4 linked regions of the Drosophila melanogaster genome follow. Changing the gene in region 4 together with the main gene of any one other region gives a genetic interaction. Each region holds a gene or a part of one and is shown on either strand. Other genes may lie near its edges.

Region 1 (4,962 bases), on a different chromosome or scaffold from region 4:
TGATAATTAAAAGTGTCTTCTTCGGCTGAAAGCCTAATTTGCTGTTAACTGCACTTTAAAAAGCTGTTATTAAATACATAGAGCGCTGTGATCTTTACGACTCGATAGCGGAAGTAATTGATTTTTCCCTTAAAATAACTGACCCATCCACATTCCTGTACACGTGACTTTTCACGTTACAGGTGGAAACAGTGGATTTGTTTGAAATCGAACGGATGTTTGTATACCTTATAACTGAGATTAATTAGTTTAGTTTATTAACTGGCTCATGAGTATATTGCATTGTCAGCCCATTCTGCGATTACAAGTTTGTATTTTGATAAAAAAATATATAAGGGTAAAAGTTTAAAAGTTAATATTCTCTTCTAAAAGGTAAATGTAAAGTAAGTTACTGATTAGAAGTTTTACTGTACCTAGCATTGAATGAAAATGTTAATATGTGAGAAACTATATCATTCAGTTAAATAATTACAGAAATTCCATACCACTCGAAAGTAAACATGTCATAAAAGTACATATCGCAATTTATATAGTTTAAATGTTTGCTCTTTTAAATTCGTTTATTGAGCAGTCCAAACATTTCTCTAAATTTTCCCATGGCCTGTCGAATCAGCTCCCACAAGTGAAAAGTGGTTGTATACAACTTTACAGCAGTAGACACCATAAAAGGCACTAAAACCTAAACTTTGTATTATTATGCAAACAAAAAATGGGAGAATGAAAATGGGCACATTTACCAAATGTGGTTTGAAACGAAATTGTTGTAAATTGAAAACAAATTGAAGTCAAATGAGATAAGGAGTGGGTGGGTGGGTGTCGAAAAATCACGGCAAAAGGCGATGAAATCAAAGGAAATAGAAATGGGAAATTAAACTACAAGCGCAACGATCAAATGCCCCGAACAACAAGTCAACTTGGCCAGATAAGATACGGTGCTGAAAAGTGCAAGTGCGTTTATGGAAATGGTTATTTACATACATTACCAAACGGGTTTATGTACATATGAGCCACGAAGAGGCGGGTCGGGGCAACTAACATTAATGGCACTTGTAAACAAATCAATTGAGTTGTCAGTATCGACGGCAAATTGGCCGCAACCAAAGTGCCACACGAAGATTGTTTATCAATTTTGCCAGTCGGTAAATTATGTTCTTTGCATGTCAGCAACCAATTGCCAGGAATCGATATATCTGCCGGTATGATCAAAGCGAACGCCGACTAAATGCAGTCACTTATTCCTCGGTGCTACTTTCAATAATTCCCAATCGGCACGGTAATTCCTTATTGGGCCGACAATATCGGGGCTTTCGCTATTTTTGTTTAACTTCATCTTGTTTTAAAATTAAACACAATTGCTTACTCCAATTGGAAACGTATCGCCGATCATATAATACCGAACATTGCCATTGTGTTTGTCTTCAATTTGGAATTTGTGTTTTCATAATTTTCTATTGGGTGTACACGGTTCGGTTGTAAAGATACGAGGGAACTTAGTTCGATGATGTGATTTGCCTGACTTTCGGTTGAGAAATTGTTTGTCGTGATTATCGATCGAATCATTGCCAGAAGTGGAATTGTAAAAAACCCATAAAAATATATATGTGGCACATCTAAGATAGGGTACACAAATCACAGAAGGTTTATGAAAAATATATGGAATGGAACAAATTTAGAAAAAGTTATTAAACTATCCTTTAAATCAAATACTATATTCAATATATATATATATATATTGCCTCATTTTGAAGATAATTGCTTGTTATTAATACATTTTGCATCTTAATTTGATCTAACCTTAAGATTTTCCATTGTTAAAGATTTGACCAGAACATGGTCACAATTTTGTTATGATTAGCTAAAGCCCGACCAAGATCTCTATGATGGATTCAGTTCGCCCGTCCAACTACCATAGTCAGCCATATCGGGACACTTGTTGGCCCTCAAACACATATGGCCAATTAAGGACGCTGAAATACGCGCAGACACTTGGGAAAGCTCATTAGGAATCTGACAGGCCAGAAGAAACAGTTCTGCCCTCTCTCTCTCTCTTGCGGCATCTGTATCATCCATCTGGCTGATCCATCGATCGCATTGAGTGTGGGCGTTACAAGACAAGCTCCTTGACACACTCAGTGGGTACAAAAGAAAAAAAAGAGTTAAACTCACTTGGGCTGGAAGATGGCGCACCTCCTTACTGGTTTTTCCTCTACTGGTTTTCGCCTGCTGTCACGAATTATAATTTAATTGTTTACTTTGCCACACTTTTATAAATTGTAATTGCCAACGAGAATGGCGACAGCTTCACGCCCTTTCTGCATTTTCTGTGGGCCGTCGAGGTGAGGTGAGGTGATCTCTGTCTTTTGGGACAATTCTCCGAGACACGCTTTTTGATTGACTTCCGACAAACGACTGACTTAAAAAAACGCGCAAGGAGATATGGGCAAAAAGTAAAAAGTGAAAAAAAAGCAGACTAAAGAAAAGAGAAAGAGCAAAAAGAAGCAAAGTTCGCGACGACTTCCGACGACGTCCGACGTATCCACAAAATGTCAAGCGAGTACAAAAAATACTTTTTTTTTATAGAAGATGTTGGAGAGAGTGAGTGAGTGTGAGTGTGCCAGTGTATTGGTCTGTTTGCGATGTGCCTCTGTGTGTGTGTGTGTGTCTGTGGGGGTGGGGAAAGGGAGCCATAAAACAGGTGGAGGGGGTGGTGCGTGGGTGTTTTGGGGCGTTTGACTTCGTTTTTCTTTCTCTTGCTTCTTTTTTTTTACAGGAGGTTTTAAAATGAAAAGCTTGTATTGTGTGGGTGGAAAATAGTACTGCATATGTGTGTGTGAGTGTTCTATATATGTATATATGGGTGGGTGGCTCTTATCGGATTCCGAATTATGTATGTATTGACTGCCGCTGCTTCTGTTCGTTGAGGGAAGAAATAATATGGGGGCTCCTAAGTTGATTTGTAGTTTAGAGCGGCATGAAAATTTCCTCTTGAAGGGAATTGAGAAGGAGAAGAGGAGTCAGGCTCATACGAGTAACCGAATAAGGGTATACAAGTAATTCAGTTTGCAAAATATAATAAAATATATTAAAATTCTTATTGATTCAAGTACTGTTTCTCATCATATGATTCATTATTTATTCGGCACAAGATACAAGATTTTTTGATTTTTTTATGGCCGCTTATATACCAAACCGTTTTCTTTCTTTTATAAAAATAATAAGTTTTATAAAATAAAACATATAATACTAAAGCAGATGATTTTATGGGCAAAACAGATTTAATTCCTTTCAAAATCAATGTTCCGACGGCATTGCACTTGCCAGAAATCACAACACAACTCGCGTTACGCATACGCCCCGTGGACAAGTCGGAATATCAGCGAATGAAAAATGAAAAAAATTGACATTGCAATGATGGCAGAACCGAGAATTATTCGCCGTGCTGTCAAAATGCGAATGTCAAGGCAAAAAACGAACCAAATGCAGACAGATAGCCAACAGAATCCGCTGAACGGCGGCAAAAGGCAAAAAGCGATAAACGCATAAATTAAAATAATTACAAGAGGCGTCCTCAGATTATTGTTGTTGCTGTCACGCACACACAGCTAGTTGAAAAAATAAACAAGAAAAGTCGCGAGGACGACAACCGACAATCGGCCAACGGAGTGGCAACTGAAAAACTGCAATTGAATGCAACTTGACCAGGCCAAAGCATCTAGAAGAAGAGCAGTACTAGCTGAATAAATGGAAGAAGAAGCACCACAAGCAACTGTAGTAACCATACACTTACAAAAATTATATAATATATATTCCAGTCATTTTCTATTGTACCATTTTAATATTTAACAGAAATAAACCTTAAATTCTATATTTTATCTTAACAAATATTCACAAACACGTCTTGGTATAACTTAATTTGGTTTTTATTGTTACTCTAAATAGAATATATTATAATTTATACATTTATATATAAAGGTTCTAAGCGTATTTTAAATACATTTCTTTTACAATTATAAGTAAATTTATAATGTTAATAGGCTTTTAATGAAATTGTATTATAACCAATATATAAAACTTTTCTAAGTGTAGAATCAGTTGATTTTTCTCGGCAACTTGGGATCCACATTGTTGCAACAACGTAGTTGTTGCCGCTGTTGTTGCTGTTGATTTTATTCAAAATGGTTTGTTTATGCCTGAACAGAAAGAGAACGCAAGAGAGAGAAAGTGCGGAGGGAGAGGTAGAAAATCTTGGGGAAATATATCCAACAAGCGCGCTCTCTCCCGCACAAACACACTCACCCAAAGTGGGCAGCCGGCAGCCAATCGGCATGGAGCTTTGGCGCTCTCTTGCGGCGCATGCTCGCTCTTCGTGGGGAGCTCTCTCCATTTCGCCGTTGGCCATTGTGTGTGCATGTGCGCGAATTCGCCGCGGCGTCCAGATGCTGCGGGTGAAAAAAAGAGAGCGAGAGGGCTTTTACCTTTTGACTGCTAATTTCCGTTCATTAAAGTTGGCAGTAGCTTGGCTCGCTCACTATTCTATATGTTCCACTCCCCCATGCCGCCCCCCCTCAGTAGTGAGTCCTTAAAGATATTTCGCCTTGGCCGCAGCTTTAATTTCATTGATTAGCGCCGAGGAAATTCCCTTCTTGGCCCTTTTATTTTTGGTTTGTCACTTCTATTCACTTGTCTGCCCGTCTGCTTGTGTTTTGGTTCCTCTGCAGCCTCCTTTACATCCTCTTTTCCACTATTCTTGTTTTGTAAGCATTTAAGTTGTCGCTGTTTCGAGATGCTTAAATCCAACTAATCGATGGGTTTCGTCTGAAAATGGTTTAGTTTGTGGGGGTAGGTTCTGAAGAGTATGACCCAACTATTCACGGAGTAACTATTTGGTAATCAAAAGATAGTTATGAAATAAAGAAGTTGGGGAAGAGTAAAACTGATGCGAGCGTACTTTTTGAAGATTTT
Region 2 (4,687 bases), 1.8 Mb from region 4:
CCTAACACTAAAGTGCCCACAGATGCCACTTCGAACTCACCCACCGACCACTTTTGTCTAATGAGTCGGATAAATGGTGCCGGGATATATTCGACTGCACATGGATCCCCTTTGCCTTTGATATTGATTCTGATTCCGAATCCGATTCCGCACCGGGCTTTTCCTTTTGCGTTGCGTTACCCATAACTGTCACGGATGTGCAATGAAAAATTACCAATCAATGTCTCACTTCAATAGAGGAACGTGCAGCGGCGGAGGGAGGAAGGGAGCAGGGATGCGGTGGTAGATATGCCCCGAAGCCAGACCAAAATGTGACATTTTCTCTGGCGAAAAGAGTGCATTTAATAGAAAATCCGGGAGATAGCAATGGGTCAGGGATGAGGGGGACTGAAGCGACAAAATGCAGCTGCTCGAATTTGTACGATTCGTGCTCAACATTAAATCGTTTGCGTTTCGTATAAGTTCGAAAGTAATGCTTCAACCATGTGCAATTCATCAGAAAGTAAACCAAGAGATCTCTTAAGCTTCTCAACGAACAATTAAATATTAGGCTTATACTTAAATAATTTAAACTCCTTAACTCCTAAACTCCATTTTTATCATATATATGTATTATATGCATATATAAGGTATGAAAATAGGCTGAAGGTAAACTTTGCCTTGTGATATGTTTTCGGTGAAAGTAGTTAGACAAATACCATACGTTGATCCAAACTATTTTAAGAATTTATTGAGTAGTTATCATTGAAAGGCATTTAATTTTATTTCAACACATATACATATGAAATGTATTCCACATACGCGGCCCACGGCCTATAAATTTAAAATTTTAAAGCAGTCAAATTGCAGCATGCCCAAGACTCTTCTTCACAAATTGCCAAATGAATGTTCAACTTGATTTGTTTAAATTCGATCGATTTACTTTACTCGTATATTTAAATAAATAGAATTCTATGATAGGAATATCTTAACTACTATATGTACAAAAACATGTGTGTCAGTCTCCAAGTCTCTTGGCCATTATCACTCCCAGCTGAGTGTTTTGGGCTTGTGTTTGGCCGCAGCTAATCGATCGCTGAGAACCCATCATGGCCAGCCACTGGGTTCCGCGCGCAGCAAGGCTCCTTTTCTGTTTGCGCTGCCTCTTTTGCCTCTGCCTTCTGCACTTGCGCACTCGTCCTTGTGCCCAAAATGTCCTGGGCACCGTAGGGAGTGCGCCCTCTACTGTGCAACTCATCGCGTCGCAGCTTCGTTCTCGGCTGTGTCATTTGCGTGTCACCTACAAATGGTCGAGAGAAGTGCGCTTCGGTTTCGTGGCGGTACGGCTTTCGGTTCCGCTCTGGGGAAGAGAGTAACTGAGCATCGCCGGACCTCAAGACAGATGGTAGAGGTCCTGTGGATGTTGCTGGTAGCTGCACTGATGTTGGTACTGCTGCGGGTAGGCATCGTACTGCTGGTGGGTCTGCTGCTGAGGGTAATCATTGAGCAGGCCATAACCATGACTGTGACTGTGGCTGTAAGCGGGGTAGGCGGCGGTGGTTTGGTGGTGGTGGTACATGGGCACTGGCACCGATGGTGCCCCGGTGGTGGCGGTGCTTGTGGCCTCCAGTGGCGGCAGCATCGCGGTGTAGCCGGCACCACAGTGCTCCGGGGAGCTGTCCAGCGTGCGATCCTTCTTCGACTTCATGCGTCGGTTTTGGAACCAGATCTTGATCTGCCTTTCGCTCAGGCTCAGGGCATTGGCGATATCGATGCGACGACGCCGGGTGATGTATCTATTGAAGTGGAACTCCTTCTCGAGCTCCAGGGTCTGGTAGCGGGTGTACGTCTGACGGGTGCGTTTCGAGTCTTTGCAATCTGTAAGCATAAGCAAAGAAAAAATGGGTTAGCTAATGAGTTTTATAACTGCGTATTGTTTGAAAATATCAAAAATGTATACAAAAACATATTTTCAATATTTTCAAAGTGTATTTTTAGGGGTTGTTAATCGTGTGTGATGCCTACCTGATGCCAAAGTCTCCTCGATGTGCGACCAATTGAAATCGCCGGCTCCATTCGGGGCTGTCACAATTCGATGATTGATCTCCTGGCTGACAGCTGACGAGGATTTCTCCCCCGGCGATTGGGGTGGCGTGCTGATGCCTTCGAGGGGCGGCAGAGAGGTGGGCGTGGTTGGCGGAGGGGTGGCAAAGTCGCCATTCTTCAGCTTCTGCGTCTGCGACTGGGGCGAGTAGACGTCCAAGTAGTCGACATCCTCGGAGGCGCTGGGCGTGGGCACAGTCACGTACTCTTGGTCGTAGCTGGGAGCGGGGCTGGCGGTGACCTTGGTGCTTACGGCGGGAGCCTTCTTCACCTGCTCGACGGTTGTGTAGAAATAGTCGGGGGTGTACTTCAGCTTCTTCACGGGATTGGTGAGCAGAGCCCTCAGTGTGCTGGGTCGCTCCTCCACGGCGGCGATGATGGAAGCAGCATCATCTTCGGCCTTGCGCTTGGTGGCCTTGGGCGGCGGGGTGGTGGGTTGCACGGGCGGTACAGTCTGGGTGGTCACCTGCTCCTGATTGTTGTAGTAGTAGCAGCTCTCCGAGTAACTCTCCTGGGGATAGTAGCCCTGATAATTGGAGGTGTTCTGATAGTAGGCATTGCTGCCTGAATTATCGTAGTAGGTGGGCGGCAGGCTGTGGGGGTGATACATGTTGTACATGTTCATGTTGTCGGCGTAGCTGTAGTGGCTCTGGCTGTTTGTGGTGGCCATATCGGATGTGTATTGCTAGATTTCTTCTCTAACTCTGCGATGTGCACGCAACGCTGGTGAGTTTGCGAATGAGCTGGTCCTGCGGCAGATCCTGCATATATAGCAAAATCAGAGAGCCCTCGGCACACGCTCGCCGTTATAGCGCATAAATATCCCTGCGCATGACACTTTGCCGCCTGCTGTTCGCAGCCACCCCTCCGGCGAAATGTCCTTGCAGGCACGGAGAGGGGAAGTTATCCGAGGTCCTGGCAACTTTATCCGTACGGTGCCTACCTGCTGCGCGGCTTATTACCTACCCATCGCGCCCATTATCATCGCGATTTATCCGCCCGCGCGCTTCTCCTACTCGGCGACCTTGAGACGGTGCTGCAGTAATTACGGCCATGAGGTGCCTACCTATGAGGTGCGCAGAGCGAGAGGGCGCGACTCTCAGCCGATCTCCCTCTAATTGCAATAATCATAAAGACATAAAAACTGTAAACTGTTGCTGAAAACGTTCCTTCGGGGCAGAGGCTTTTTCCCCGGCCCGTTTATGGTTCCCTAAAAATTTCTCTGGATTTTTGCCAGCGCGCAAAACACCGAAGACTGGCTGCCAGTTGTTCCCGGAACCCGATGCCCTTTCCCTCCGAATTTATTTCGTGGCACTGGGCGGCCAAAGGATAACATTACGTCCGATCCCTGGGATCAGGAATACGCGTGGCCGAGGGTCGCGTGTTTGCGCTTTTTGTTTGCCCTCGTGGCCAAGCAAGTGCGCAACTCCCGATTCCCAAACTCACTCCTGTGCCCGGTATTTGCCTAAAAACCAACAAACGCACTTCCAAAATGACTAGTAAACAGTAAAAACTTTATGCAAACATCCTTTGCCTAAATTTTAAAAATATGATATAAATTATATGCCCGCTGATTTTTCAAATGAATACTAGTTTTATTTTATTTTTTACGTTATACTTTTAAAAATGATTCTATAACAGCAGAAAACCAGCAATATTTTAATAGCATAATATTGTTGAGAATATAAAGCTTTTACGCTTTTTTTCGGTAACTCTGTGATATAACCCTCAAGTTTTTATAAATTTTAAGTAGGTTGTCTATGGATGCTGTAATTTTTAATGGCCAAATGGTAATGTATCCTTTGTGAGTGGTAATCTTGAGTTAAATTTGTGGCACAAAACTTGCACAGCGTAGGATCTTCATGTTTAATTATAACATTATAGCTCTTATACTTATACTTATATGGATCAAGAATATATATACTTTGTAGCACTGCAATTGCTGCCTTCTACCTGTTACATTCATTTCAGTAAGGGGTAAGAATGCCACAGGCTTCACGATTTACTATTTCTCATTCTTTTAGAAACTGAAGGTTATTTCTGGTAATCTAAAAATCTACTTCCATCTTAGGTTCGCGTATAACCTGAAATCAGCTCAGCTAAATTGACTGGTAAAAAACAATCATCTCTCAGCCACTTTTGTGTTTACATGACTTTCTGATCGGCTTACGCGGCCTGGATAAATTTTATTAGCCACCCCCGTTGAACACCCCTAACATATCGATACTCCTGACATATGTGTGCATGTGCGAATTCTACCCTTACCCCATCCGCATACTCTGGCAGATTCCATTGTTCCACAAAATTTATGGCGTTTTTCAGTTTGACAGAAGAGACTGCAGTTCGCATCTCTCCGATGTCCTGTGATTGCTATATTGCCAGTGAATGTGAGCCTCCTTTCTGGTTTTGCAGTAAACTTAACAATAAGGGTGTAGAGTAGGATATAAAACCATCCGATAACTTATGTTTATATCTATCAATCAAAGAAAGGAAAAACAGCTCCCCAAAAATAAAATTCTTTCGATACCGAATCATTTACTAAAATAATTTCATCTCATTTTATTTAAATATTGTTAGGATCCTTTTTTAACGCAATAAATAAGGG
Region 3 (5,051 bases), on a different chromosome or scaffold from region 4:
CTGCTATATCGGTTTTATTATCGGCCATCGCCGATCGACTTGCAACCGAATGTTGATTGAATTTATGCCAAAGCATTTGTTTTCCGTCTCTTTTTGGTGTTGCCATTGACAGGCCACGCCCATTTGGCCCGTGGTTAACGAACATCGAGCCAAAGACACCGCCGATCAGATATATGTATATGGATATATGCTCGCATGTTTGAACAGAACTGATTTTGAAACAAGAGCGGTAGCTGAATACGTAAATAATTTATTGGCTTTGATCCTATAGGAATGTGCGGTAGCCGACAAACTTCGTTGATACATCCAGCAGATACATCCGAAAGATAGTTTGCACCAGACATATAGTCCATAATAATGTGCTTAAACAAATCAGAAGAGTTCGTTAACTTTAAGGTACAACGAATACGTTGTATGAGTATTTTTAAATAATTTTCTTAAAGTGTTTGTTTTGTAATTAAATACACTTTTCTATGATGTCACAACTAAAATTAAATCAATAAAAGCAACACCGAAGTAAACGTGCCGTGGAATTAATGAGCTTCAAGACGACATTGTAAATAAGTTAGTTCAATTATCCATAAGCAAAAACTTCAAATATGAATTTGTGTATTCTGAAATACACCGAAAAGCATTGGAAACGACAAAAGTTTAATTTTTAATAGTTTTTATTTTTCTTTGTATAAAACTAAATGCCAATCTTTAGACATACCATAACTAGGACTATAATAGAATAAAATACTTAGAGACAATAAAGATCATTCTTAGACTTAACAATTTGTATGTACAATAGCATTTGAGGGTGGGAATGATTACTACTTCTACGGCTCTTCCGCCGGCTAACTTTAAAATACAATTGCAAACAAGCTCAAAGATATATTTACAATTTTAACGTTTTCATAAAAAATAATTTTTGGATCCGAGCTCAATAGGTGAGTGTGAGTGTGTGTGTGGTGGTATATAGGTGTATGTGTGCGAGTGCAATGCAACTACCTGGTCAGGCTGTCTCTTTCCAGCAAAACCTGTCTGTCCCTATCTCTTTCCACTTCCCTAAGTGTGAGCGAGCACACGAATAAATTTACATTTTCTTTAAGTAACAAAAAATAAACAACGAGGGTTTTTGGGGCGACTCCTCCCACTTGGTTTTTTCGCCGTGTACTTAGACACACACGAATATTCCCCTCATGGCACTAGCCGCATTGTGGGCCACCGCGAAGCCACCGAAGTGGGTGGCCTCTGCACCACCTAGCTTCTGCCGCTTGACTTCCGCATGGGCGGTGGTGGTGTTCGGTGAGTGGGCGGCGGAGTGGGAGGAACTGCTGCTGCTGGTGGTCAGGCACTCGGCCTCCAGTTGGTAGAACTTCCGGCGCGGAGCCACCTCCACTTCTTGATCCTCGGAGCCGCTGTCGTTGAAGCTGTGCACGGAGCTCCGCGAGGTCTTCATGCTCAGATCCATGGGTCCTTCTTGAGCGGAAACGGTGGGAGGATGCACTGGTACAACGCTGGTGGTTTCGCCGCCAATGGAGCAAACCGAAACGGGCGACAAGCTCTGCATCTTGGCCGCAAAACTCAGCGGGCTGCTGCTAGTCGGAGTGGTTGGCGTGGCTCGGATGGCAATGGGATGCAGGAGGCTTGCGGACGACTGATGGCTGTGCACGGAGTGAACATCCTCCTCCAGGCAGACATCGATGGGCGACTGGCGGGCCGAGGAGGTGGGCTGCACCACTGGTGGCTGGCTGGCGGGACTAAAGCGGTTCTGCGACTCAACGGAATCCACGCTCTGGCGGTGCTTGTACATCTCCTGCCGGTAAGCGGCATCGGCAGCAGAAGCCGCTGCAGCGGCAGCACTTGCATGGTAGCCTGGGAAGAGGAGGTGTGGGGGCAGCTGGAAGGGCGACTGGTGCGGTACACCGCCCATCATGCTGAAGAAGGGCAGGGCGGCGGATGGGTCGGACAGATAGCTGGGATAGCCCAGCAGAGGCATATGTGGATGACGCGGCACCTGCTGCTGCTGCTGCTGCTGATGATGGTGGTGCAAATGGGCGGCCATGTCCCCAAATCCGGGAGTGTGTGGCGAGCCCACCGGGGAAGAGGCCGACGGGGCACCACCCACCGATACGCCACCCGCTAATGGAGGCGCCTTGCCCGCCGCTGCGGCGGCCTGTTCGTGCTCCTGCAGCAGACAATGGATCTTGAACCAGTTGGAGCGACGTCCGTAGCGGGATCCCCCCTTCGACATGCCCACGTTGTAGCACTTCCTCAAGCGGCACGCCTTGCAGGTGGTGCGGTTCTTCTTGTCGATGATGCACTTGCCCTCGTTCTTGCACTCGCTGATGGTGCTGATGTTGTTGTAAGAGCGGCCAAAGAAGGACTGCAATGGCGAAGGGAAGGACGAATGTGGCTTAGTTATGTGGTATGCAACTCATTAGCAAAAGAAGAGCAGAAATTCATTCAAGAACTTAAGGCCAATGGTACAACGATTTGAATCGCCGATGGCCTGTTCCTCGAACATTTCTAAAACTAACCCCTTGGGGGGTTACGTTCTGCTAATTTATTTGTCAATGGATTTCTTGAGACACAACTTACCTTGCAGCCCTCGCAGGTGAAGGCGCCAAAATGGAAGCCCGCCGCCGGCTCACCGCACACTTTGCATGTCTGGTTCATCTGGAAGATTGTAAAGAAATCCCGCGTTAGTAAGGGTTTAATCCACTGGTCGAGAGGTATATGTGTAATCCACAAGTAGGCGAACGGCTCTGGACACTAACCAAGTTGAACACCATTTTGGAATGATATTTGTTGGAATTTTGAATGCTTTTCTCACGATCGCTGTGAGGATCTGCTGTATGATCTGTTCGCTTGGAATGCTGCTGAGCAACTGATGCTGAGCTCTAGGCGGGCCAGGATATATATAGGAAACTGGGAAAAACTAGACAGGATGGGCGTTTTTTATGATCACAACAGGCCAAAAAACTTAAGCTGCCGGATTATGCAACCCTATGCGTTCATTTTCATTTTTTTCGCGCTGTCCAGTCATAAAACTCAGGTAGATTTTCTTTTTTATTCGAAGTCATTACGAGTGCTGCGAAAATAGTGTTCCCTAAAAAAATGCAGCAGCAGTCCAGACCTTGACGTTCGGCCATAAAAACTCACGCCGATTTTTCCCGAGTCAAACAAAAAATAGAAAATTCGGCTTATGAAAATTGTGATTTTTTTCCCGCTGCCTCGGGACGCAAAAAAATAAGGAAAAGATGGAAATGTGGCCGTTAGTTTTTCGCGTGAAACAGTAAAAAATAAAAGTAGTGCACAAGGGATCGTAAAATTTGCCGACGGCCGCGACCCAAAAACAAGAACCGTGAATTGACTTTGATCTCATGTTGTCTCCCTCGCTCAGAACTTACCTTTTTGCTTTTTTTTGTTGGATGGGCACTAGGTTTATGACGACTTTTTAATTGCAGCGATTCGCGATCGTTGCTGCACGTTTTCTCACTTTGGCAGTTTGTGTCTGTTATTTTTTTTTTTTTTGTTTTGTTTTCGGTTTGCAAGCACTTTTCGATCAGTCTGAGTGATTCAGGTTTTCAACACTTTGATTATAATTTTGGATACGATTTGATGTGATGTATGGTTTTTGATCGCCGAAACAACGCGGTTTGGGAATCCTCGATGTGTGTAACTGACACTTCGGCTACTAGCTGACGACTGATTTCTGGCTGAGAGGTTCGACTGGCAAGAAGCGTTTCTGTGTTTCGCCTACTGGCCGAACTCTTTGGCTTATGTACTCGCACTCACACCAAAGCAAACTTACCAGTTTTCAGCCCCAGCTCTCTGATAAATCACGGCTGAAACCACCACCTTTAAGACTCGGATCGAGTGAGAGAGCGATCGAGCACGCACACATGCGCATTGAGTTCGAACCCCACTCGAGCGAAATGTTAGCAGAATGTTAACGCTCTGTTGTTGAATGAATAGAAAACACTCACTCACTCATTCAGATCTCACGCTCAGTCTCTCTCTCTCTCTCGATTTTGAGTTCCCTGTAATCAGGCTATTTGCATGGCCCTGATATTATTCGTTATTCGTTTATTTATTAAAGATACTCGCGTGCTAAGGGCGGCTGGATTTCTCACTCACTCGAACACCACACACACACACACACACCACATTGACTAAGCTATTGACTTCATTTTTAACAGCTGCTCATTTTTTTGGCATGGGCGGAGCCGTTTTGGCTGCTCGAAATCGAAATGGTTGGAGGCCAATTCGCTTGGGGTTTTCTTTTCAAAGTCCGCCGGTTTTTGGGTACATTTAGAGTTGCCTGTATGCCTAACACCTAGTTTGATTTTCAAAACCTTTTTCCGCGGGAAATATTCCCACTTTCTGTGTGATTCACAAACTGATTCTCAAGATTTCATGAAATGTGTTAAAATTTGCATAACCGCGACTTGGCAATAAATTGAAACGCTTTAATTAGAAGTTAATCAATAAGAGATCTGCATTGATTCATAGCAAAAAAACGATAGTTGAGTATTATTGAGTATGTAATTGCGTCCGAAAAGTTATAAAAAATACTATTTAGACGGGCTATTACCCGGATTCAGAATGATTCATATTAAAGTAGTTGATTTGCAAGCTGGTTCTAAAATAGCATACAAAAATAGGTTTAAACCATACAAGTTCAATATGAATAGAATATAATTATAATTATTTTAATAATTTTATTAATATTACACTTTTAGTAGAGTAATATTTCGCAAATAAATCATGAAATTATATTATTCTTAAATATTATAAAACTTTCTTATCCTCTCCTTCACCATCATTATACTCAATAAAATACAAATATCAATCGAATTTAATTGTAACCCTTTTAAAAGTCAACTTCCAACATAATTTCTCCTTTGTGTAAACAAAGAGCCTTATGGCGGCACTTAACTCTTTTTATGAATATTTATTGTTGTTTGCTCAAAGCCAAAAAGAAAGAAGGAGCTACCTGTTTAACCCTTTTATGCCGCTAACCGATGTGCTTAACCCTTTTATGGGCGCGCATTGTACCA
Region 4 (8,361 bases):
GGAAAACTTATGCTACGAATATATACAATTCTGGACAACGATTATATGATAATAGTGATAAATAATAATAACAAGGTGATGGTGATGGGGAACTTAGGAGTGAGCATTCCTGGCCATGTGAACGAAGAGGCCGACGGGTCCGTCGCACTTCTCGCCGCACATGTTGCACTTGAACACATCGTCGCAGCTGTGGTAGCCCATGTGAATGGTGTAGAGCACGGCGTCCTTGAAGAAGATATCACAGTACTTGCACTCGTAGATGGCACCCGCCGCCGCCGGAGTTCCGGATGGAGGAGCTGCAACCGCTGAGGTGGTTCCATTGCTGCTGGAATTGCTGCTGCTGTTGCCGTTGCTATTGCTGCTGGCATTGGAGCTGTTCCCCGAGCTGGACGCCGTCGAACTGGCACTGGTATTGGCCTGCGGCACATGGGCCGTCTCCATCGACTCATCTGCCGAACTGGTGCCCGAGCAGTGCTCCTCGGGCATGGGTTTGCGTCCGGCAATGGGCGAGGATGCAGTTGGCATGGGTGTGCTGGGTACTTTCAGTTGCTCGGGAGATGTCATGGCCTCCGATCGCAGTTGTAACAGGGTGTCCAGCTTGAGGACGCGTCCCTTGCGTCTCGAGGCATTCGAGCTGCTCATCAGAGGCGTGGCCTCCTCCTCCACCTTGAGATTCATGGCCAGCGGCTGCTGCGGTTGTTGCTGCTGCTCATCCTCCTTCACTGGCGTTCCTTGGGACAGATCCATGGCAGAGTCCACTGACTTACGCTCGTACTCATCGTCCTGCTCCTCCTCCTCATTGTCGCTCTGCTGCTGGTTCTGTTGCTGCAGTTGCTCTCGCATTCTTGGCGACAATTGGGCCAAGACAGCGGCCTGTTGTTGGGCGGCCAGCATCTGGAGATTGAGGTTCCAGTAGGGGAAGAAGGCCATGTTGCGGTTCTGCTGCAGAAGGCTGGCCAGAGGAGGCAGAAGATTGGCTGGACTGGGCAAGCTGGGCGTCTGTTCCACACTGGCCACACTCTTGGCAGGAGAGGCGGGCAGCGGGAGCACTGGAGATGCCGCCGGAGGAGCGGAGTTGCCTTGAACCAGAGGGAATCCTTGCAGGGCGGCACTCAGCTGAGATGTGGCGACTGGCTGAGCTGGCTGAGATTGCTGTTGCTGCGGAGCGACAGCTGCAACATTTGACTTCCGGCTGCCGCTGCCACTTCCTCCACTGGCAATCGGTCCACCATTCTTGCTCTTCGGACCACGACGCGTGCCGTAAACATCGATGACCAACGAGGGATTCGGGGTGCCATCCTCGTCCAAAACCATGCCGGGCTTGTGACCATACTTGCGCAGATGCAGCTTGAAGCTGTGGCAATACTTGGTGGCGTAATCACAATCCGCACAACGGTACTGATACACAGAACTGTGCGACTTGCGGTGCGAGTTTAGCATGGATTTGTTGACACACGTGTAGCTGCATTTGTCGCACTGGAAGGGCTTTTGGTTCTTGTGCTTCCGGATATGGTACTCCAAGTGGTGCTTGAACTCGGTGACGAACGGGCACTTCGGGCACTGCAGGATCTTGTCTGGTTTCATGTGGGTGCGGGTGTGCGCCCAGAAGTCCACCTTGGTGATGGCCACCACGCCGCAGGTCTTGCACTTGTAGTTCTTCATCTTGCCGTGCGAATTGTAGATGGGCATCCGGATGTTGGTATCATCGTCCTCGGACTCGGCCATGTACTTCATGTCCTCGCTGGAGTTCGACATCTGATCGTGCTCCTTCTCCGGCTCAATATTCGACTGACTCGACTTGGCCGGCGACTTAGGCGGTGTGACATCCATGGGTGGTGTTAGTGCCTGCAACTTCTCGCTGCTGCCAGTGGCAACTGCAACGGGCGCAATTGTGGAGGCAGATGTGGGCGTGGGCTGCGGACTGGGTCGCAGATTGCCGCCATAGAAGTGCTGCATGGGATTGGGCAGACCAGGTGGCGTCAGCGGATTGAATCCACCCATCAGATGGTGATGGTGATGATGTTGCTGCTGGGCTGCCTGGAAATGCTGCTGGTACTGCTGTTGCTGCAGCAACTGTTGCTGCAAGTTAGCATCGTAATGCTGCAGGCTGTTTTGATCGTTTTGGCTGGGTGATGGGGTCATGGCGCACAGGGTATCCATGGGTTGCTGCTGAAGCTGCTGCTGCTGCTGCTTGAGGAACTGTTCCAGGTGATTGGTCGAGGGAATGGGCGATTGGCGCGGACTGCTGGCCACGCTATTCCCGTCGAGATGATGACCTGGCTCCTGTTTGATATTTGCCGCGAACATGCTGTTGTACCAGGCGTTGTGCTGCTCGTAGTTGGTCGTGGCTGTCGTCTCCCAGTTCTGCATCTTGGCGGCTCTAGACGGCTGTAATGGATAAGAAAACAGAGAGAGTGGGGTTAGTGGGCATATTCATTTATTCATTCATGCACTGCGCCTGCGTCGAGTTTTTTCCTCTTTTTTTCCGCTTGTTTTTCATTTTATTTTTCCTCGCTTTTATTTTTTTTTTCTCTTTTTTTGGTGTGCTTGCGGCACCACCCCTAACAAAAAATACGTCAGGGGTGGCTGGGCGGCACCCACCCCCTGAAGGCGATTTGAGTGATTTTGTGTTCAAAATGGAGACACTTGGTAATGGCTAACAATATCCTACCGTTTCGTGGCCGCTCAGTGCGTATGATTGCGATTGTATCGAAGTATATTCCAAATTTGTCGGGATTTTCGTAAGGATTTGCAAGTATATTATTGGTGCTGCTTCTGTTGTGTTGTCGCAGTGGTAACAAACTCGTGACTGACTGAACAATTGCAACAGGCATTAGTTTATATATCGCTCAGGTAGACGGATGCACGCGTCAAGGGATTAGATGGGCAGAGGTGACGGGAAGTCAGGTACAGGTCGCGGATCGGTCGGGAATCGAGGATCACGGATCGCGGATTGAGGATTGCGCTCTTGATCCATTCTGGATTAGAGCAGAAACAAAAAATTATGCGCACTTGGATTTGGATGATCCGGGAGCTTAGCGGATGGCCAGCTTAGCAGCGAGCTGCGAATTTTCCACCGGTTTTCTATGGGGATTACGTTGGTCAGGAGTCGACAGCAGGAGTAGGCAGCTAGCGTGGGCAGTTTCGTAGTTAATAATAAAAAGTAAAAAGGATTGCGGGACTTAACTAAATTAACGGATCAGAACTGCTTACACCTGCGGGAAAACTCTAAGGACCAACTAAACTATATGCATAATATGTGCAGTATAATTATTACACACCCATTTGAAAAACATTTTCCTGACAACAATTTTCCGCCAGACATTTCACTTTGATTTGCGTAGTTTTTCTAATAATTCTCGCATTAAAATTGCTTGTTGCCTATATTTTTTCCATTTCCAATTTCACACTGAAAAATTGTGCAGTTGCTGCATTTTTGGCTAATTGTTTGTGCTTTCAAGTAAATATTATTAAAAACGCAAAACGGGAAAAAGGGGCATTTACGGAATATTATTATGGGAGGATGGTGCTGTGCTATCTGGCAGCTAAAATATCTACAATACTTAGGCATAATTGATGGTTCAGGAAACAGAAAGTGCACCACACAAAATGAAGCTTAGCATATTTATTTAAATTCGCTTTTGTGGATATTTTTAAAGAAAGCCAAAATTAATTGCTCGGCAAGTGTGTTAGTGTGTGTGCGCACTATGAAACAAAGAGAATTTTCGCCTTTCGTCTGGGCTTTTTTGTGCCATGCCCAACAACAGCAACAAAGCCAAACTAAAGGCCAAGTGTAAAATTAATATTACGCCGGGCAGGGGCATGGGCCAAGGGGGCAGGGGTGGGGGCATGGGGACCATGCAGTGGGGGTTAGTGGCGTGGTGTGGCCACAACGAGTGCAGCCAGGCAACCGAAACTGCAAAAGTAAACTAAACATGTGCTAGTCGTTTTTGGTGCCTCCCCCCCCACCCCAACACCGCCCCCTTTTTAACCCTCTAAAAATATCATGAAAATGGCAAAAATGGAAAAATTCGAAAACGCAGAAAATGCGCCACACAAAAAATGTTTTTGTTGAAAAATCCGTACAAAAAGCAAGCCAAGAGCAGGATATGCCTGCTTGTTTGCAGGCGTATATAAAATATATGTATGTATGCGTATACATATGTGTAGTTGCAACCGTTATGTTGTTGGCTTAGAACAACTTGTTGTTTTTTGGAGCTGCATTCGTTTAGGGAAAACTGCACTGCTGCTGCTGACTGAAGTGATTCAATGTCATTTGCGGTTTATAAATATATCCCGTATAATATGTGCATATTTATTTTTATGCGCCTAACAAAGCCCCATTTGTTTGAAATGCGCTCAGTTCTTTTTGTCGGCAAACATTAAAACTGTCGGATGACAATCAATTCTGCAAAAGATCGTGCAATAATGATTCCCATCATCATCCTAAACAAAAAAAAAAAACAAAGCCTGCGAGCGTCACATAGGTGTATTCATTATATTTGAAATGCATTTTGGCAAGTGCCGAACTATTTGCCATTAAAAAATTGCCACGTTGACTTTGAATTATAGTTCGATGTCTAAATTTAAATTATTAAAAAAGAAAAGTCGAAAATGCATTTGCCGAAAGAAGAGCGAAAAGAAATGCTAAAAATTGAAGGGGTTATTTGGGGGGCAGGAAGGCGAAAAAAAAACAACATGAAAGTCGACATGTAAACAAATAAAATTAGCTGTCAGGCGTAGAGGGGGGCGTGGCCAGGGGCGTTGCTTAGGAGGAGCAAATGAGGAGGGGGGGGGGTCGGTTGGGGGTTGGATATACGCTGCAGTTCTAGGCAAAAACAGACAGAGCGGGCAAAAAACAAGTTCACCCGAAGATCGGCCAAAAGCCAGACAGATTTTAAAATATTGTTTTAGAATTTTTGCCATTTGCATTTTTAGCAATGATTTACCACTCTGTGTGGTTGTGTGTGTGCATGTGTGTGAGATCTCTTGTTTGTGTTCCTAAGGTTAGACAGAAAAAGAAGCACTCGATTACAAACAACAAGAAGAGAACAAGAAAATGTGCAGAACTAGAAGAAAGTTGAGTACTTGGGATTAAAGGTGATTATGACATAGAATAAGCAAATTGGTTATCAGTCATCAGATTAGCATGAATTAATAAAGTAAAATACATTAAGCATAGTGCATAATAGCATATAAACGAACTATTTAAATCTGTTTCTTTTGAAAGTATATCACATGATGAATTATAATTAAACAACTATATATCGAATATATTCTATAAAAAAAAACAGATTTCGTATCAATTGAGAACTAAATTAAAATTTACAGGGCGTATGTAAATCCTCACAAAAACTGTGTATATTCTGGATACCCCAACATTTTGGCATTTGCTCCCGCAAAAGCGATTTGTAATTCTTGTTTATTTGTTTATCCGCGGAAAGCTTTTGCGAATTTCTACCTCCATGTGTTTTTTACGATTTATTGGAGGTCGAATGCAGTGTATAACTAGGATATTGGATGGTACGCCCAGTTACTTACCTTGCGGACAGTCCAAGTGCAATTCTGCGGGAGAATTTGGAAACGGGAACCGGGAGCAGGAGCAGGAGCACGTAAGTTTTCGCTTTTCGCTCGCGGACTCTCTCTTTCCCACTCTCTCGCTTGACCGCGGCACGGTTACCGTTAGACCAACACGCACAGTGCGTGCGAGGGGGAGCGGCGATGTGGGGGCTCCTTGCTCTTCGTTTTTGTCTATTTTTTGGGCCTCGCTTTTTAGCTTGCTTTTGTGCTTTCTTTTTCGCGGAATTCGCGCATGTGCGGGATGTGGTCTTTGCCAAAAAATAAGTTTTCGGGACAAAAGTCTTTTTGCAATTGGTTATCTTTTAGCACAAGCACGAAGTTTAATTGTATTTAATGGCAATATTTGTTTTGATAGCAGTTACGTTTCGTCCTTTGGATGTTTGGTTATTTTTGTATTTCAGTGGCTGCCTGTCAATGCTGGCGACTTTCGTTTTCGGGACTCGGAGCACAACTGACCAAACTCACGCTCAGCGGGCTCTTCTAATAGCTGAAAATCTCCTCACTGCTCCTCACAACAGTGCACTCGCCAAAAAAGAACTCAAATCTAAAATCTCAATTGCAAAGCAAAAACAAATGCCAGAAGTGCAACAACACAAAGGCGCACGAGAGCCGTTACACGGAGAAGCAGAAATCGAAATGAGAGAGCAGCCGGAGAGCATCAACAACGTAACGACGAAACTCACTCAAAACGGATACGGATGCTAGCTGTAAATCTGAGTGACTTTCCCCATCCCCAAAAGCAATAACTAAACAGCATCCCCTTCGTGGCGTTCGCTCTTTCACTCACTCACCCACTCTCTCGCTCTGACTCGCTCATTTTATCCTTTTGCATTTTCTGGCGCTGCATTTTGGCCGAATGCAGCTGCCTTTTTGGCTCTTTGCCGTTTTTTGGCATCTCCGCTTCACTATTGATTATTGATTTCTGGCCCAAAAGTGAGAGAGCGGAAATGGAGGAAGATGGGGGGCCTTCGCCAATTGTTTTTTGGGCAACTTTAAGCCCAGACACATTAACAACTTAGCCAACTGCAATTGGGACGATGGAAGTTTGGGCCGAGGAGATTCCTTGTTGCTTTAACACATTTTCCTGTTGCTGTGCGTGTTAACTTAATTTGGGCAAAGCTTTGCCACAATTAGCATTCGAAATTCCAAATCTCCTTAAGGTAGTTTGTGCATATTGGGTGTATTCCACCTTTTTAAGCTAATTTCGGAAAATGTATCATTGTTAGCTTGACAAGGATTATGGTTAGCAATAAATGCATATCATTAATAGTATCATTCGGTTTAGACCAATTTTTTTCCCAAGCGGAATGTTCGCTTTTAGAATGATAAATTAGGAGCGATTGTTCTAACTAGGTTTAATGACAAATTTTGGACTAAAAAAAAAAACTATTATTATTATTCATTATTCATAGTTCATTGGTAAAAACCTTTTTTTCTCTATACAATACAAAAGGATAACTTATTATTTGTATGGATCAGAGTTTTTCTAAAGAAAACATACATGCAAATTCATAATTAAGTTCGGAATTAATGTGCCTCCAGCTATTTTATTCAATCTCCTGTTTATGTGGAATATTTGGGCTAAAATCTCCTGTTTATGTCGAATATTTTGGCTAAAACTAAAGTGGAACGGGGAGAAATTAGGGCGTTGGCAGAGGGGGTGGGGAAAATGTAAAAGCAATATTTACAAAACAACAGAGCAAACAAATCGCCGCCGGAATGCAAATTATACAAGTTGCTCTCACATATCCAGAGGAATATATGTGTCAAAAGGACGTCTCGGGAACAGGTAGTACCGGAGGTAGACCTGCCATTGACGTTGACATGGCAAACCGGATTACGAATACGAACTGCAACCGGACTTAGCGAAGAAAGGATTAAAGGACGCAAAGCTACCTGATCGGCCCGCCCAGTTCATTAATCCGCGCATCCGAAGAAGTGCGACTGGAACTAGAGTGATGTGGATTTAAAAGCGATTTAAAAGTTGGCCGTACTTCTGCACAGGACATAATCCAACATTACGCAGTACGCAGGATCACGCAGGATCAGCGCCGCTGATCCGGAGGATCCAGTTAGTCCCGAGCGATTAGCGTTCGCTGATCAGCCCGATTAGCGTTGCTTAGGCGGGCGGGTGCTGTGTGGATCCTACCCAGTTACGTTTGGAAAGTTATGTAAAGTTGAAGTTAAGGACATAACAAATAGTCCCAAGGACCGTCACGCTTGACCTTTTAATTGATGAGCTGCGATATACCTATCCGGTGATCGGGACAAACACAAACATGCTGATGATCATGATCGTCTAATTGCCGAAAGTCCATGCCACGCATGCAAATGATCCTTATCCTTAACCTTTGGCCTGCGGCTGTCTCAACAGAAGTTCCTTCGAGGGGAAGATTGGGCAGATCAACAGGGCGGATCCGCACATCTTTATCTCATGATCTTCGCATCTCCCAAATGATATGCAAATGTATCTGTAAGATGTGCAGCCAAGCGCTTGGGATTTTGTGGTCGACCGATTCGCCCCTGGAGGGAGTATCTCATTAGGATTTCACTTTTTTTTGTGTTTTGATTTGGCGCACTCTTCTGCTGACCTTTGTCCTGCGGCCTGTTGAGATATCACCTTGAGTTCGTAAGCTGATTTCATGCCAAGGATGATTTGCCATTTTACTTCAGGTTTTTTCTTTCCTTCTGAAGGGGATTCTCTTTTTTGGCTGTTTTGGTTTGTGTGGTTATTGTACGGCGATTTGGCTCTTTGATCTTAAGTGCAAATTGGTTTCGCCA

Evidence for each region.
Region 1: of hb (region 4) and pdm2, changing one suppresses a phenotype caused by changing the other (phenotypic suppression), as found in Drosophila melanogaster (one study listed by BioGRID).
Region 2: of hb (region 4) and ftz, changing one enhances a phenotype caused by changing the other (phenotypic enhancement), as found in Drosophila melanogaster (one study listed by BioGRID).
Region 3: of hb (region 4) and kni, changing one suppresses a phenotype caused by changing the other (phenotypic suppression), as found in Drosophila melanogaster (one study listed by BioGRID).

The regions. Positions count from the first base shown.
Region 1 is NT_033779.5:12,655,278-12,660,239, reverse strand, and holds the start of pdm2 (POU domain protein 2), read right to left. Parts: upstream 3,076-4,962; 5' UTR 2,167-3,075; intron 1-2,166. UniProt on the Drosophila melanogaster protein: DNA-binding regulatory protein implicated in early development. Involved in neuronal cell fate decision. May act as an octamer-dependent activator of transcription.
Region 2 is NT_033777.3:6,862,459-6,867,145, reverse strand, and holds ftz (fushi tarazu), read right to left. Parts: upstream 2,823-4,687; 5' UTR 2,753-2,822; coding exon 2,005-2,752; intron 1,858-2,004; coding exon 1,373-1,857; 3' UTR 902-1,372; downstream 1-901. UniProt on the Drosophila melanogaster protein: May play a role in determining neuronal identity, may be directly involved in specifying identity of individual neurons. Required during embryogenesis for the process of body segmentation.
Region 3 is NT_037436.4:20,691,677-20,696,727, forward strand, and holds kni (knirps), read right to left. Parts: upstream 2,881-5,051; 5' UTR 2,781-2,880; coding exon 2,766-2,780; intron 2,665-2,765; coding exon 2,587-2,664; intron 2,372-2,586; coding exon 1,160-2,371; 3' UTR 654-1,159; downstream 1-653. UniProt on the Drosophila melanogaster protein: Transcriptional repressor. Binds to multiple sites in the eve stripe 3 enhancer element. Plays an essential role in the segmentation process both by refining the expression patterns of gap genes and by establishing pair-rules stripes of gene expression.
Region 4 is NT_033777.3:8,691,785-8,700,145, forward strand, and holds the start of hb (hunchback), read right to left. Parts: upstream 6,039-8,361; 5' UTR 5,542-6,038; intron 2,817-5,541; exon of another isoform or gene 2,672-2,816; intron 2,389-2,671; 5' UTR 2,371-2,388; coding exon 94-2,370; 3' UTR 1-93. UniProt on the Drosophila melanogaster protein: Gap class segmentation protein that controls development of head structures.